3 linked regions of the Saccharomyces cerevisiae S288C genome follow. Changing the gene in region 2 together with the main gene of any one other region gives a genetic interaction. Each region holds a gene or a part of one and is shown on either strand. Other genes may lie near its edges.

The links. A genetic interaction does not mean that the proteins touch.
Region 1: mutations in ZRT1 (region 2) and MKK2 together harm fitness more than expected from each alone (negative genetic interaction), as found in Saccharomyces cerevisiae (2 studies listed by BioGRID).
Region 3: mutations in ZRT1 (region 2) and UBP13 together harm fitness more than expected from each alone (negative genetic interaction), as found in Saccharomyces cerevisiae (2 studies listed by BioGRID).

The regions. Positions count from the first base shown.
Region 1 is NC_001148.4:286,952-290,832, forward strand, and holds MKK2 (putative mitogen-activated protein kinase kinase MKK2), read right to left. Parts: upstream 2,084-3,881; coding exon 563-2,083; downstream 1-562. Other genes in the region: UME1 (Ume1p), read right to left, coding at 2,718-3,881. UniProt on the Saccharomyces cerevisiae protein: Serine/threonine protein kinase involved in a signal transduction pathway that plays a role in yeast cell morphogenesis and cell growth.
Region 2 is NC_001139.9:18,970-22,608, reverse strand, and holds ZRT1 (high-affinity Zn(2+) transporter ZRT1), read right to left. Parts: upstream 1,632-3,639; coding exon 501-1,631; downstream 1-500. Other genes in the region: FZF1 (Fzf1p), read right to left, coding at 1-305. UniProt on the Saccharomyces cerevisiae protein: High-affinity zinc transport protein.
Region 3 is NC_001134.8:93,077-97,745, reverse strand, and holds UBP13 (ubiquitin-specific protease UBP13), read left to right. Parts: upstream 1-1,863; coding exon 1,864-4,107; downstream 4,108-4,669. Other genes in the region: SEF1 (Sef1p), read left to right, coding at 1-1,077; ribose phosphate diphosphokinase subunit PRS4, read right to left, coding at 4,352-4,669.

The sequences.
Region 1 (3,881 bases), on a different chromosome or scaffold from region 2:
AAGGGTTGTCCCGTGGTCGGAGCCCTTGTCGGAACTAAAGAAAATCAGGCAATATAGAGGATATTTTCTACGTACAAAACGCTTATTGTATTTATAGCTCCAGTTACTGAAGTGGTAACTTAAGTAAGCAATAAGTATGTTAAAACCCTTTTATTTTTCTGAGTCGAGCAGATTTTTGTTCGACCGTTGTATATAGGATAATATGACGCCATATGATTTTTTCCTCTTTGGTAGGGAGGGAAGAAATTTTCCCCGCGCGGCTGAGTACAAAAGCGCCTAGTACTCACTTGAGTCATAATTTAGCACATCATAGCGTGCCTGCCAGAAAGACTTGGATGCGCATTTCTATTTGATGTAAGTAAGGAAATAGGAGAACTTTCATAGCCCATGGCTAGTTCGGTTTTCAGTAAACTATATACGTATATGTTAAGAATATTTCGGAGTGTCTAGATAATAAAAGAACATCGTTAAACTTATGAATGGTGAAGGAGGAGAAGTCTCGTTAAAGAATTCCTGTTGTAGAAAAAGTCAGTTCTGGTTACGAGAGGAAAATGTTGGAAGTTTATATCCCATCCTTTTCCTTTTCCCAGCATTTCTTTACAAACCGTTCCATGTTGACTTTTTTTTTCATTTGCCCTACAATCCAGGGATGCTTTAACATTTGCCTGGGAGAAGGCCTCTCTCTGGCATCTTTTTTTAAACAATAGTCGATAAAAGATCTAAATGTCTTGCTCCAGGATATGTCTAGTTCTGGCTCATCTTTCAACTGGGGAGAAAACGTCAGGATCATCGTCAATAATTCTATAGGAGCCACGTTTTGCGTTATTTTGTCAGATTCAAATGGAAATCTCCCTCCAGCAACCTCCAGAAGAGTTAATCCTAAGGACCATACATCACAGGTTACGCTGTATGGTTGGCCTTGTATTCGTTCTGGGGCCATATAAAATGACGTTCCAGTAAATGTCATCGCTAAAGAGTTAACAGCCTCCCCACTGACACCGAAATCGCATAATTTGATTTCCCCTTTTTCATTAAGAAGAATGTTTTGGGGTTTAATGTCCCTGTGGATGACTTTCCTTTCGTGTAAGTATGATAAACCTCTTAAGACAGATTCTGCTATCTTTCCTATCACCCTCTCACTTATTCTACCGCCACGTTTCAACAAATTTTTATACGTTGCCTCCAGTGATTTTCCTCCCATATATTCCATGGCAATGTATATTGAAGAACTCTGTTCGTCGGTAAACATACCATAGTACTGCACAATATAATCGGACTTAAAACTCTTATTAAATTGTAGCTCTCTGAATATTTGCTTTTGATATTCTGGGTCAGTATTCATAGTGTTGATTGTCTTCAACGCAAAAACCTTTTTTCCATTTTTTAATCGGCACTTGGCTACAGAACCACCCGCGCCTTCTCCTAGAATTCCTAGTGTAGTAATCTCATCCTTGAGATGCCCAAACCTCCATGCTTCTTCCTCTAACTGGTCTACGTCTTTTCCTTGTATTAAGTTGGAACAAGAAATTATGTTATTTGCACTTAAAGGGGCGGAGTTGCTCCCGCTACTGCTGAAGTCGTACGCAGAAAGAAGTGTCGAGGGGTATGAATCCTCGCCTTCTGGTGTGTCGAGATCTTTCTTGATAAAAGTGGTATCTATGTTGGATAACTTAGTGGAAATTGGAGCACTAGATAGTAGTTCCTTGTAAGTTATATCAACATGCAAATTAGAAAATCTTTCAGAAAGCTGACTATCGCCGGCAACTCTATATTCTATACCGTCTTTTTTTTGCGTTAGTACTAGGGGAGGTAATGGAGGTGGTACCGGTCTATTTTTAATAGTTGTAGTAGATGATCTATTGTACAACAAAGTGGAATTTGAAGCCATGGATGACGTAGTGGAAGTAGCTGAAGTGCTATTGTTGGAGTATGGGCTTTCGTTCACTGACGAGTACGGTGACCGGTTGAGATGTTGCCCATCATTAGTGGATTTCGCATTTTGAACTAAATTTACTGGAAGCGTTAATTTTGGAGTCTTTTGGTGACTCCTATTGGATTCTGGTGGTCTGAACATTGAAGCCATTATCCTGTGTATATAATTGGTATTTTGTAGATATGATAACAGTGCCTGCTATGCTAATCAGGTAATACTTGCTACTAGTAAAATGTCTAATTTTTTGAGCGAACGAATTTCATGCAAATTAGAAGGTAGCCAACATATAAATATATGAATATATATGTGCCTACGTGTTTGATGAGGTTTTCAGTAAAATTAAGCGGAAAGTATTGAGCTTTCCCAACTGATCCCTTTGATTTATTCTCTTTCTAATTCTTCAACTCTAAGGATAAAGTTTATTTCTTTTTGATTTTTTTTCGCATTGAGAAAGTGAACATAAACAAGGGTAAAATAGGCTCAATATCAGTTCACCTTTGAGAGTCTGGCAATAAGAGATGTGGTTCTAAGGTTACCTTATACATTCTAAACTCTGAAAACGCGTTTTCAAAGGTATGTACATTTCTCTATATTAAAGAGTAGATCCTTGCCGTTTATATATACATGTAGAGCAATTCTCAAGCTAATAATTAATGTTTACTTCAGACAATAAAACATTAAAAACAAATTTTTAGAAAAACAAAAGCTGAAGTAAAGACTAAATATTACACAATTTATTCATACATTTCCGCCCCAAACTCAAACAGCCTAAATAATATAAAAATTAACTTTTGGCAGCTCCAACCTCTCTACTGCCATCTAAAACTTTTCCAGTAAACGGCTTATATACAGTTAACAACCCGTCACTATCAACTGTAGCAACTAGATCCTCAATGTATTTGTGATAAGCAACGGTATTAACCTTATTATTTTCTCCTATTTCTCTTCTGCAGCCCTCAGTGTGATAAAATGCCATGCTTTCGGCCTCCAATTCGTCAGATATTATGCCTTGAAAGTCCTCATGTATCTCGTTATAAATGGCAAAAACAGGTTCGAAATTCCAGTGGTAAACATTACCTAACCCTCCAATTGTAACCACTTCCATAGGCGAAATGGAAGAAAACTCTATTTTGGACACTTGCTCGCTATAAAAGTGATGAACTTTGAATAGTTCATTGACTTTATTATGTCCTTGGTTGATATTTAACTCAGCATCAGCATCCCCTAAAGCGATAACTGCACGTATATCCCAAACCTTGAGAGCCCCACCACTAGTTCCCGTCATAAATAATGTATCAACAAACGGTGATGCAGCAAAACAAGTTGTTTTGCCGTCCAAAGAATCGTTTAGAATCCAAAGGGGCTTTTTGCCTATCTCATTACCCCAAAACCTTATGATACCGTCATCAGAACAAGTGGCGAATATTTGATTATTCAAAAACTTGATTTCTTGAATATTCTTTATGCCAGGAACAGGTATTGTACGAAGCACTTCTCCTATTTTACCTGAGTTGTCTATCAATTTTATTGTAGCGTTTTCATTATCAAGATGTTTTTCCTTAGTTACTGTTAAGGTTTTTGAATCGTTAGAAATTGCAAAATCAACACAGGGTTTATTTTGATTTCCGGACGATGCTGAACTTAGAGAAGTGGATGGCTCCATCATTGTGTAAACGGGCGATTTGACACCTTCTCTGAACCATGCCAAAGAACCATTGGTAGAAAGGGCTATCACCTTTACATTTATTTCGCTGTTATCCACGTAAATCATCTTTGCAATCGTTTCACCTTTAAATTCCCATTTTGGAATCAAAACAGTCTGCTCCACCTTTTGAGATTCCATGGTATAATCCGGTTGTACTAACGGTTCTGAAATGCTTTCAGGTTTTTTGTAATGAAGTCCGAGTGGCACTATACAATCCACCTCAAAGATTTCACTCCCTTGAGA
Region 2 (3,639 bases):
GATGCAAGCTTGCTTTTTCTTTCATGACTATTTAAATGCCTTCTTAATTGCTGATTTGTGACAAATCTTTTTTGACATAATGTGCACGCTTTGGGCTTGATTTGTGAATGAGTCCATTTGTGAACTCGTAGATGGCACGGTCTTATAAATTTTTTGCCACATCCCGGCTCATCACAATGATACGGCTTTTGATTGGTATGCGAATTTTGGTGTTGCTGAAGCAAACTAGGTCTGTTGTAGACTTTCTCACAACCGTCAAAAGAACATTTGTAATTTCTAGACTTGGTTCTCCCTATATCCGTCATTGTTTTGGTGGCCACGTATTCTGGTACCACTTGTGCACACCAGCGTAAAAGTTGTCATTTTCATCTTCTTTAGCGTATTTATTGTCCGAGACTGTTAAAGAAAAATTATTACTGTTTTTTTGCTATTACTAAAGAATAAATAACTATAAAATATGAAATAGAATCTATATGGAACATGCAGAATTTCGCTTTGGTTTAAGCCCACTTACCGATCAAAGCCATGATACCAGCACCGAAAAGAGTGCATATAACGTTGAAGGACAATTCTCTTAGATCCTTTGTTCTTTGAGGATTGAATATAAAGTCTCTTGCTAGTAGTTCAACCAAACCAGTGTACAATAAGATACCAGCAGAAATGGCATCCAAAACACCAGAGATAACAAGCGCAGTGTAAGAACCGCTGACGTATCTGGTACGAACACCCAAACCGATGGCCACACAGATTGGTGTGGTTAACCCATACGCAACACATAGGGCCCATGGCCACCATCTCTTTGATCTAGGGAATTCAATGGCTGACAATCTTGCACCAATACCTAAACCTTCAAATGATTGATGGAACACTAAGACAGGGTATAGGGAGGAGAACTCATCACCAACACTTCCCAGGTTTAGACCGATCATAACGGAGTGGAAAATCACACCGAATTCTAAAATTAAAAAGGCATAAAATTGTGCTTGAAATGATTGAACAACATCCATGGATGTAGCGTCTGAATCTTCATAATACTCTACTCCGTTCTTGGTGTCATGAGATCCATTTGCAGTACCATTCTCATTGTCATTCTCACTTGAAACAGCTGCAGTGTTTCTCACAACAGTGTCTTTAATTTCATCGTGGGTATGGTCATGGGAAAGACCATACTTTCTTTCAACCCAGACGCTACTGAATAGATCAGTAAGGAAAGTGAAGGTCAAACTCGTTAGCATAATGGCAGGACACCATGAATAAAGACCCCAGTTACCGGTTTGTCCTACACAAGTGGTACCACCAATCGCACCATAAGCAGGGTCCATTAAGTGGATAAATGCGGTTGCAACAATAACACCGGAACCAAAATACTTTGCGAAAAGGTAAACATATAGAGGAATTCTCAATCTTTTCACTTTTGTTGAGATTAATGGGAACATGGTGAAAAAAGTACTCACGAAAAGAATAACAAAGACGGAAGATATTCTGGCACCTAAGTTACCATTGTACTCGTTTCCACCAAAGTAAACACCTTGCAAAACACAGGTCTTCCACACATCATCAGGGGTTTTATCGGCAAGTGTAACTTCAGAAGGGTCCCATTGTTTCCACCACGGCGTAGTAACGTTGCTCATAATTCCTTTTTTGATATTTGTGCTGTTGTTTTATTGTCTATACTTGCAGTTTTTTTGTAAATAGGGAAGAGATGAGATCATGACAGCCGATACCAGGCCTCTATTTATAACTAAGTCATCGAGCTAATGCCGTGCGTAATTTCTTTTTTTCTTAATTTCGTTCTACACATTTGCTCTCAACCTACTTTCCATGACCTTCAAGGTCAAATATGTTCATCTGTCTCATCTCATTGGAGAGAAGATACCTGAGCACATCTGATAATTTTGGGAAATGTCATTGTAATTTGAAGAATACCGCACAGATGAGAACCTTGAGGGTATCTTTGGTCCTTCGAGGTTTTTACAGGCAAGAGAGTACGGGTGTATTGTTTTTTAAGCAGCAACTATATTTTTTTTTAGTTATCTGGCGCGCGCGCCTTAGCTGAAGAAAACTGACGGTAACGGTACCCCAAAGGTCACAATAAGTACTTGCGCCATGTTCTAGTGCATTTGACTAATTTGCCGTAGCGTGGATCTGCATTGTCCAAAGGGTAGGAGTCACATCAGGTGTTTGTTGCGCCCAGTTTGGAAACATTTGTCCCATAGAGTGATGAATGTGAGCTCATGTCGCCGTAATCGCCGTGTAATTTACCGCAGGAATTGGCCATAATCAGACATTAGTGTCAATTTGTCCTTTCATATTAGGAAAGTCTGAAATACTCTTGCCTTCTAGAAAATTTTCATAGAAGCTTGGCAATTGCTTCTCTCAAATGCTGTTATTTCCACCCTAATGAAAGAAGCATATCAGATTCAGAGATCTTGTTAAATCCAATTTTATGTCATAATGTCGATAATTGACGTAATTTCCATTTCGTACTATGTAAAATAATGCTTATTTGGCACTTTGGTGTTTGGCAGAATACCATTTCTTTTTATTAGGGACAAAAAAAGAAATATCTGACCTGAAAGTATTTTTTTTTTTATTATAGATTTTCTCTCCAGGTACATCTATCTCAAGTCTAACCGGGATTTGACGTCTAATAGATTTTAAAATACCAATTGAAGATTGGTGCCGCTTGTTTTCCTTCTTAAAACAAGCGTATTCTTTCTAAGGCTCTCCTCCCACAAAATAATCTTTAAAGTATCGATTATCAAGGTGGACACAAAGGATATAATGTGGAGCAGTGAAACATCTGCAATCCGGGAATCGGAGAGCATTTAGAAAAATTGTGAAGAAACAGCAAGTTTTAGGCCAAATAATTTTTCTTCTTGAAGCATCAAGTTATCCGTGGCATACTTTGAATGGAAACTGAATTAACTGCTGTGATACAGAACAAAAATAAAGAGGATGGCAGGGAGAGGAAATGATAAAATAAGTTACGCCACTTAAGCAAAAATGATAGATGAAGGGCCCAATTAAAGATCACTTTTTTCTTAGCGAAGTATGCGGGAGAATGCTTGATTGACTCTCGTAAAGGCTCTCGAAAAAAATAGGCGCGTTTAGTAACAAAGAACATGGTAGTACAATTGATTAATACTTTTTTTTTCTGTTTTAGCAGTGGAGCTCTTAGCGAAGGAGCGATGTGCTGTGGGACTTCTCAACCCCCTTCATTCTGTAATTTGCCTAATTCATATTATGAGGATTTGTCGTCCTAAAATTTGGAAGTAGCATATTTCTTCTTCACTCAAGAAGAAATACCCCTCTAGATATTAGCTTTATTCTGGTGGCCTGTCACTGTCACATATATTATTCAATGATTATTGGTTTTCTAGTTCCATTCGCACGATAACAGAGGAACAATCTATTTACAGTAGCGCTGATGGCATCTTGTGTGAAACTAATGGTATTTGCGTAGACAAAACCCAATACACATCTAAATTGTCGATACTTGTGAGGTGTGGATATTCTAACGATCAAAATAGCTTAGATGAAACGACTTGCTGTGCTGCGGGTGTGACTGAATGTATTTTCAACGTACTGAATGTACTCTCAACGTGGGCGTGAAGTTGAGGGCTGGGCAGAATCTAG
Region 3 (4,669 bases), on a different chromosome or scaffold from region 2:
TATAACAAGCAAGCCTTAGAGAAAGCCGCTAAGAAAAGAAAATTTTCCTCAAATGGTATCTACAATGGCACTTCGTCTACGGGTGGCATAACGGACAGAAAACTATATCCATTGCCACTATATAACCATATCTCCAGAGATGACTTTGAAACTGTAACAAAAACAACACCAAGTGGAACCACTGTTACCACTTTAGTTCCTACTAAGAATGCCTTAAAGCAGGCAGAAAAGCTAGCCAAGACAAATAACGGAGATTCTGACGGTTCTATAATGGAGATTAACGGGATACCTCTTTCCATGCTCGGGGAAACAGGCAGCGTAAAATTTCAAAGTTTATTCGCTAATACCTCGAATAGTAACGATTATAATAATAATAGGACGTTATTGGATGCGTCTAATGACATATCAATTCCCTCTAATTCAATTTATCCAGTGGCTTCTGTCCCCGCTTCGAATAACAATCCACAAAGTACTAAGGTAGACTATTATAGTAACGGACCTAGTGTAATTCCTGATCTCTCCATGAAAAGATCAGTAAGCACTCCCGTTAATCATTTTCCTGCGTCCGTTCCAGGGTTAAGGAACCACCCCGTTGGCAACTTATCTAATAATGTTACATTGGGAATAGACCACCCTATTCCAAGGGAGCACAGTAATTTACAAAATGTCACCATGAATTATAATAATCAATTCAGCAACGCCAACGCGATTGGAAGATCACAAAGTAGTATGTCCCATTCACGTACACCGATTGCTTCGAAGTCAAATAATATGACAGATTTGCATTCCGTCGTTTCCGACCCCGGCTCCTCTAAAAGCACGGCATATCCACCTCTGAGCTTGTTTTCCAAAAGTAATGATATCAATAGCAACAAAACGAACCAACGATTTTCTACGGGCACTAACACTGTAACTTCTTCTAACTTCCAAACCATCGATAATGAAAACAACGTGAAGACTCCTGGAAACAAACTAACGGATTTTTTTCAGCAACAAAGTGCAGGCTGGATTGAAGGCAACTCCAGTAATGATGACTTTTTTGGTTGGTTCGATATGAACATGGAACAAGGTTTTTAACGCCTATATTCTTCTAATATTCTAAGAAATATTATTACCCTTGTTTTCTGCTAATTTATTAAAGAAAATTTGCAAAGACGGCTACATAGGACTTCGAGTCCTTTTATTTATACATATTCTTTTTCGGATTATTTCCAATGTAACAATATTCAAGAATGGATCAACTTAAGGATTATTTATCAGTTTGTTATCACGACCTCCCTCCTTTGTAAAATGATGACCACACCAAAGTAGAATATTTATTCACTACCTATTTATTTTATTCTTATTAATATTTTATATATCATGCATTTATCCGTGTGCATTTACCAAAATTCATGAGTAACGATAACGCTTCTTATAGGTATCTATCTATTCCCATTCCGGTAACTTTTTTTTTTTCTCCAACGCTCAGTCCTTGCTTCTTTATCCCTATTCGTTTGGAGACGGTCGTCAATTTTAGCGGAAGGCTGAAAAATACATCGATCCGAAAGTGTTGAACATAGAGATGAGGCAAGATAACTATAAAGATAAAGAACCCAAAGAACGTAATTGAACTATTGTGTGAAAGAAGGTCGACAACAGCAAAGGAATCAATAGAGTTTTTCTTTGGTTTTCAAATTGATTTTTTTTCACCTGTTCATTTTTTTTTTTTCCATTTGGATAATATTATTATTGCCTATACCAGATCTTACCCTTTGACTGTTCAACTCATCAAGCTTTATTTGTTGAAGGGGCCAAATTCGGCTTTAGTAAGGATCCAGTACTTTCATTAACATACTAAACCCACGCAAGAAGGGCGCAATCATGATCAGAAGATGGCTAACTATAAGTAAGTCTGGGAAGAAGAAAAAGGCTGTTAATGATACCATTACAGAAGAAGTAGAAAAGGTTGACTTTAAGCCTGTAAACCACGATATAAATGATGAACTCTGTTATAGCGAATCATCCGATAATCCCTCTAGCTCATTGTTTGTCTCTAATTTGGATACCAAGGAAACTTTTTTGAATGAAGACAATAATTTGCAGATTTCTTCCGGACTAGACTATTCTTCTGAAACGTGCAATCAAGGCAGTAATTACAGCCAGGATGGGATATTTTATATTTCAAACGCAAAGGCTATAAACGCATACGGAGGCATTATCACGCAAGGGCCCGAGGCACCCATATTAGCTATGAAGGTGTCCGACTCAATGCCCTATGGAGACGGCTCCAACAAAGTTTTTGGATACGAAAATTTTGGCAATACATGTTACTGTAACTCAGTTCTTCAATGTCTCTATAATCTGTCCTCATTACGTGAAAATATATTGCAATTTCCAAAAAAATCAAGAGAATCTGATCAACCAAGAAAGAAAGAAATGAGAGGTAAGAAACCAAGAATATTTACCGAAGCAAGTTTTGAGAAAAGCATTGCTGGTACCAATGGACATTTGCCTAACCCTAAACCTCAATCTGTTGATGATGGAAAGCCTACCCCTGTAAATTCTGTAAATTCAAATACAGCTGGGCCTTCAGAGAAGAAGAGTAAATTTTTTAAAAGTTTTAGCGCGAAACATGTACAAGACAATAATAAAAAGGAAGGAAGTCCTGCTATATTAACCACTGGAAAACCCTCTTCTCGTCCTCAAGACGCACCTCCATTGATAGTCGAAACACCTAATGAGCCTGGTGCTCCGAGCAGATTGAGTTTCGAGAACGTCACAGATAGACCTCCGGATGTTCCGCGTAAAATAATTGTTGGCAGAGTTCTCAATTATGAAAATCCTTCAAGAGGTAGCAGTAATAGTAATAACCTGGACTTGAAAGGAGAAAGTAATAGCAGCTTATCCACTCCACTTGATAAAAAAGATACTAGAAGATCTAGTTCCTCTTCTCAAATATCCCCAGAACATAGAAAGAAATCCGCACTTATTCGTGGGCCAGTGCTCAATATTGACCATAGCTTAAACGGCTCAGATAAGGCTACTTTGTATTCCAGTTTGAGAGATATCTTTGAATGCATAACTGAGAATACGTATTTAACTGGTGTTGTATCGCCTAGCTCTTTTGTTGATGTTCTCAAAAGAGAAAATGTATTATTTAATACTACTATGCATCAGGATGCTCACGAATTTTTCAATTTCTTATTAAACGAGTTGAGTGAATATATAGAACGTGAGAATAAAAAAATAGCAGCCAGTGATATCAACAGCGATAGCGAACCGAGTAAGAGTAAAAATTTCATCAGTGACTTGTTTCAAGGCACTTTAACGAATCAAATAAAATGTCTGACGTGCGATAACATTACATCTAGGGATGAGCCATTTTTGGATTTCCCCATAGAAGTTCAGGGAGATGAGGAAACAGATATACAGGAAATTTTGAAAAGTTATCACCAGCGAGAAATGCTAAATGGCTCAAACAAGTTTTATTGTGACGAATGTTGCGGTTTACAGGAGGCAGAGAGATTAGTTGGTTTGAAGCAATTGCCTGATACTTTAACATTACACTTGAAAAGATTCAAGTATTCTGAGAAACAAAACTGTAATATTAAGCTTTTTAATAACATTCACTATCCTCTGACGCTAAATGTTTGCTCTTCAATAAATTCTAAGGTTTGTCAAAAGTATGAATTGGCTGGGATTGTCGTTCATATGGGCGGTGGGCCACAACACGGCCATTATGTTTCCCTATGTAAACATGAAAAGTTTGGCTGGTTGTTATTTGATGACGAAACGGTAGAGGCAGTTAAAGAGGAAACAGTGTTAGAATTCACAGGTGAATCTCCAAATATGGCAACAGCATATGTTTTGTTTTATAAAGCGATGTATTCAAACGCTGTTGAAAAGAATGATCGTGAAAATATGGCAAAAGAACAAGATGATAATATAGACAATCTAATCAAGTACGATGATTGGCTAAGAACTTGCAATAGTGGTCAAAAGAAAAAGGAAGAGCTGCCTATAGCAGACGATTTGGATACTGCTATAGACGACAGCTTTGTTTCTAACACACCCATAAAGTCTTCTAAAAAAAAGTCGAGAATGTTTAGTTTTAGGAAAAGCTGAAAAATATTTGCATATCAAGGAAGGTAAAGGTTCACCGTCTCCTTTAAAACTATTTTTTCTCTGACAGTATTAATTTAATTCTTACATAAATATAATATCTTTAATCTTCTTTTTTTAAACCGGCTCCGGAACCTTTTTCTTAAATTTATAGTTTTGTCTCAGTAAAAGGTTTTCTTTTAAACTAATACAATTATGAAGTATTTAGGCATGCAAGCAATCAGGAATCTAAGAATAAAAAATTGTCCTATACTGGAGCATGGGTGAACAAATATGACACGGATTCACCATTGTGTAGTCTTCTTATAGCTTCAGCGAACGTGGGACTAATATCGATCTGGTCAGCAATAGGTAAATCCAAATCTACCGGAACGGTATTTGTGCAAACAATTCTAGACAATCTACTATTTCTTAGCTTTTCTCTTGCTGAACCGGAGAAAATACCGTGTGTAACAATAGCTATAACTTCTTTGGCACCATGCTCCATCAACGTATCACAAGCTTTTACCAACGTACCACAAGTATCCGCCATATCATCAACTAATAAACATGATTTATTGGTAAC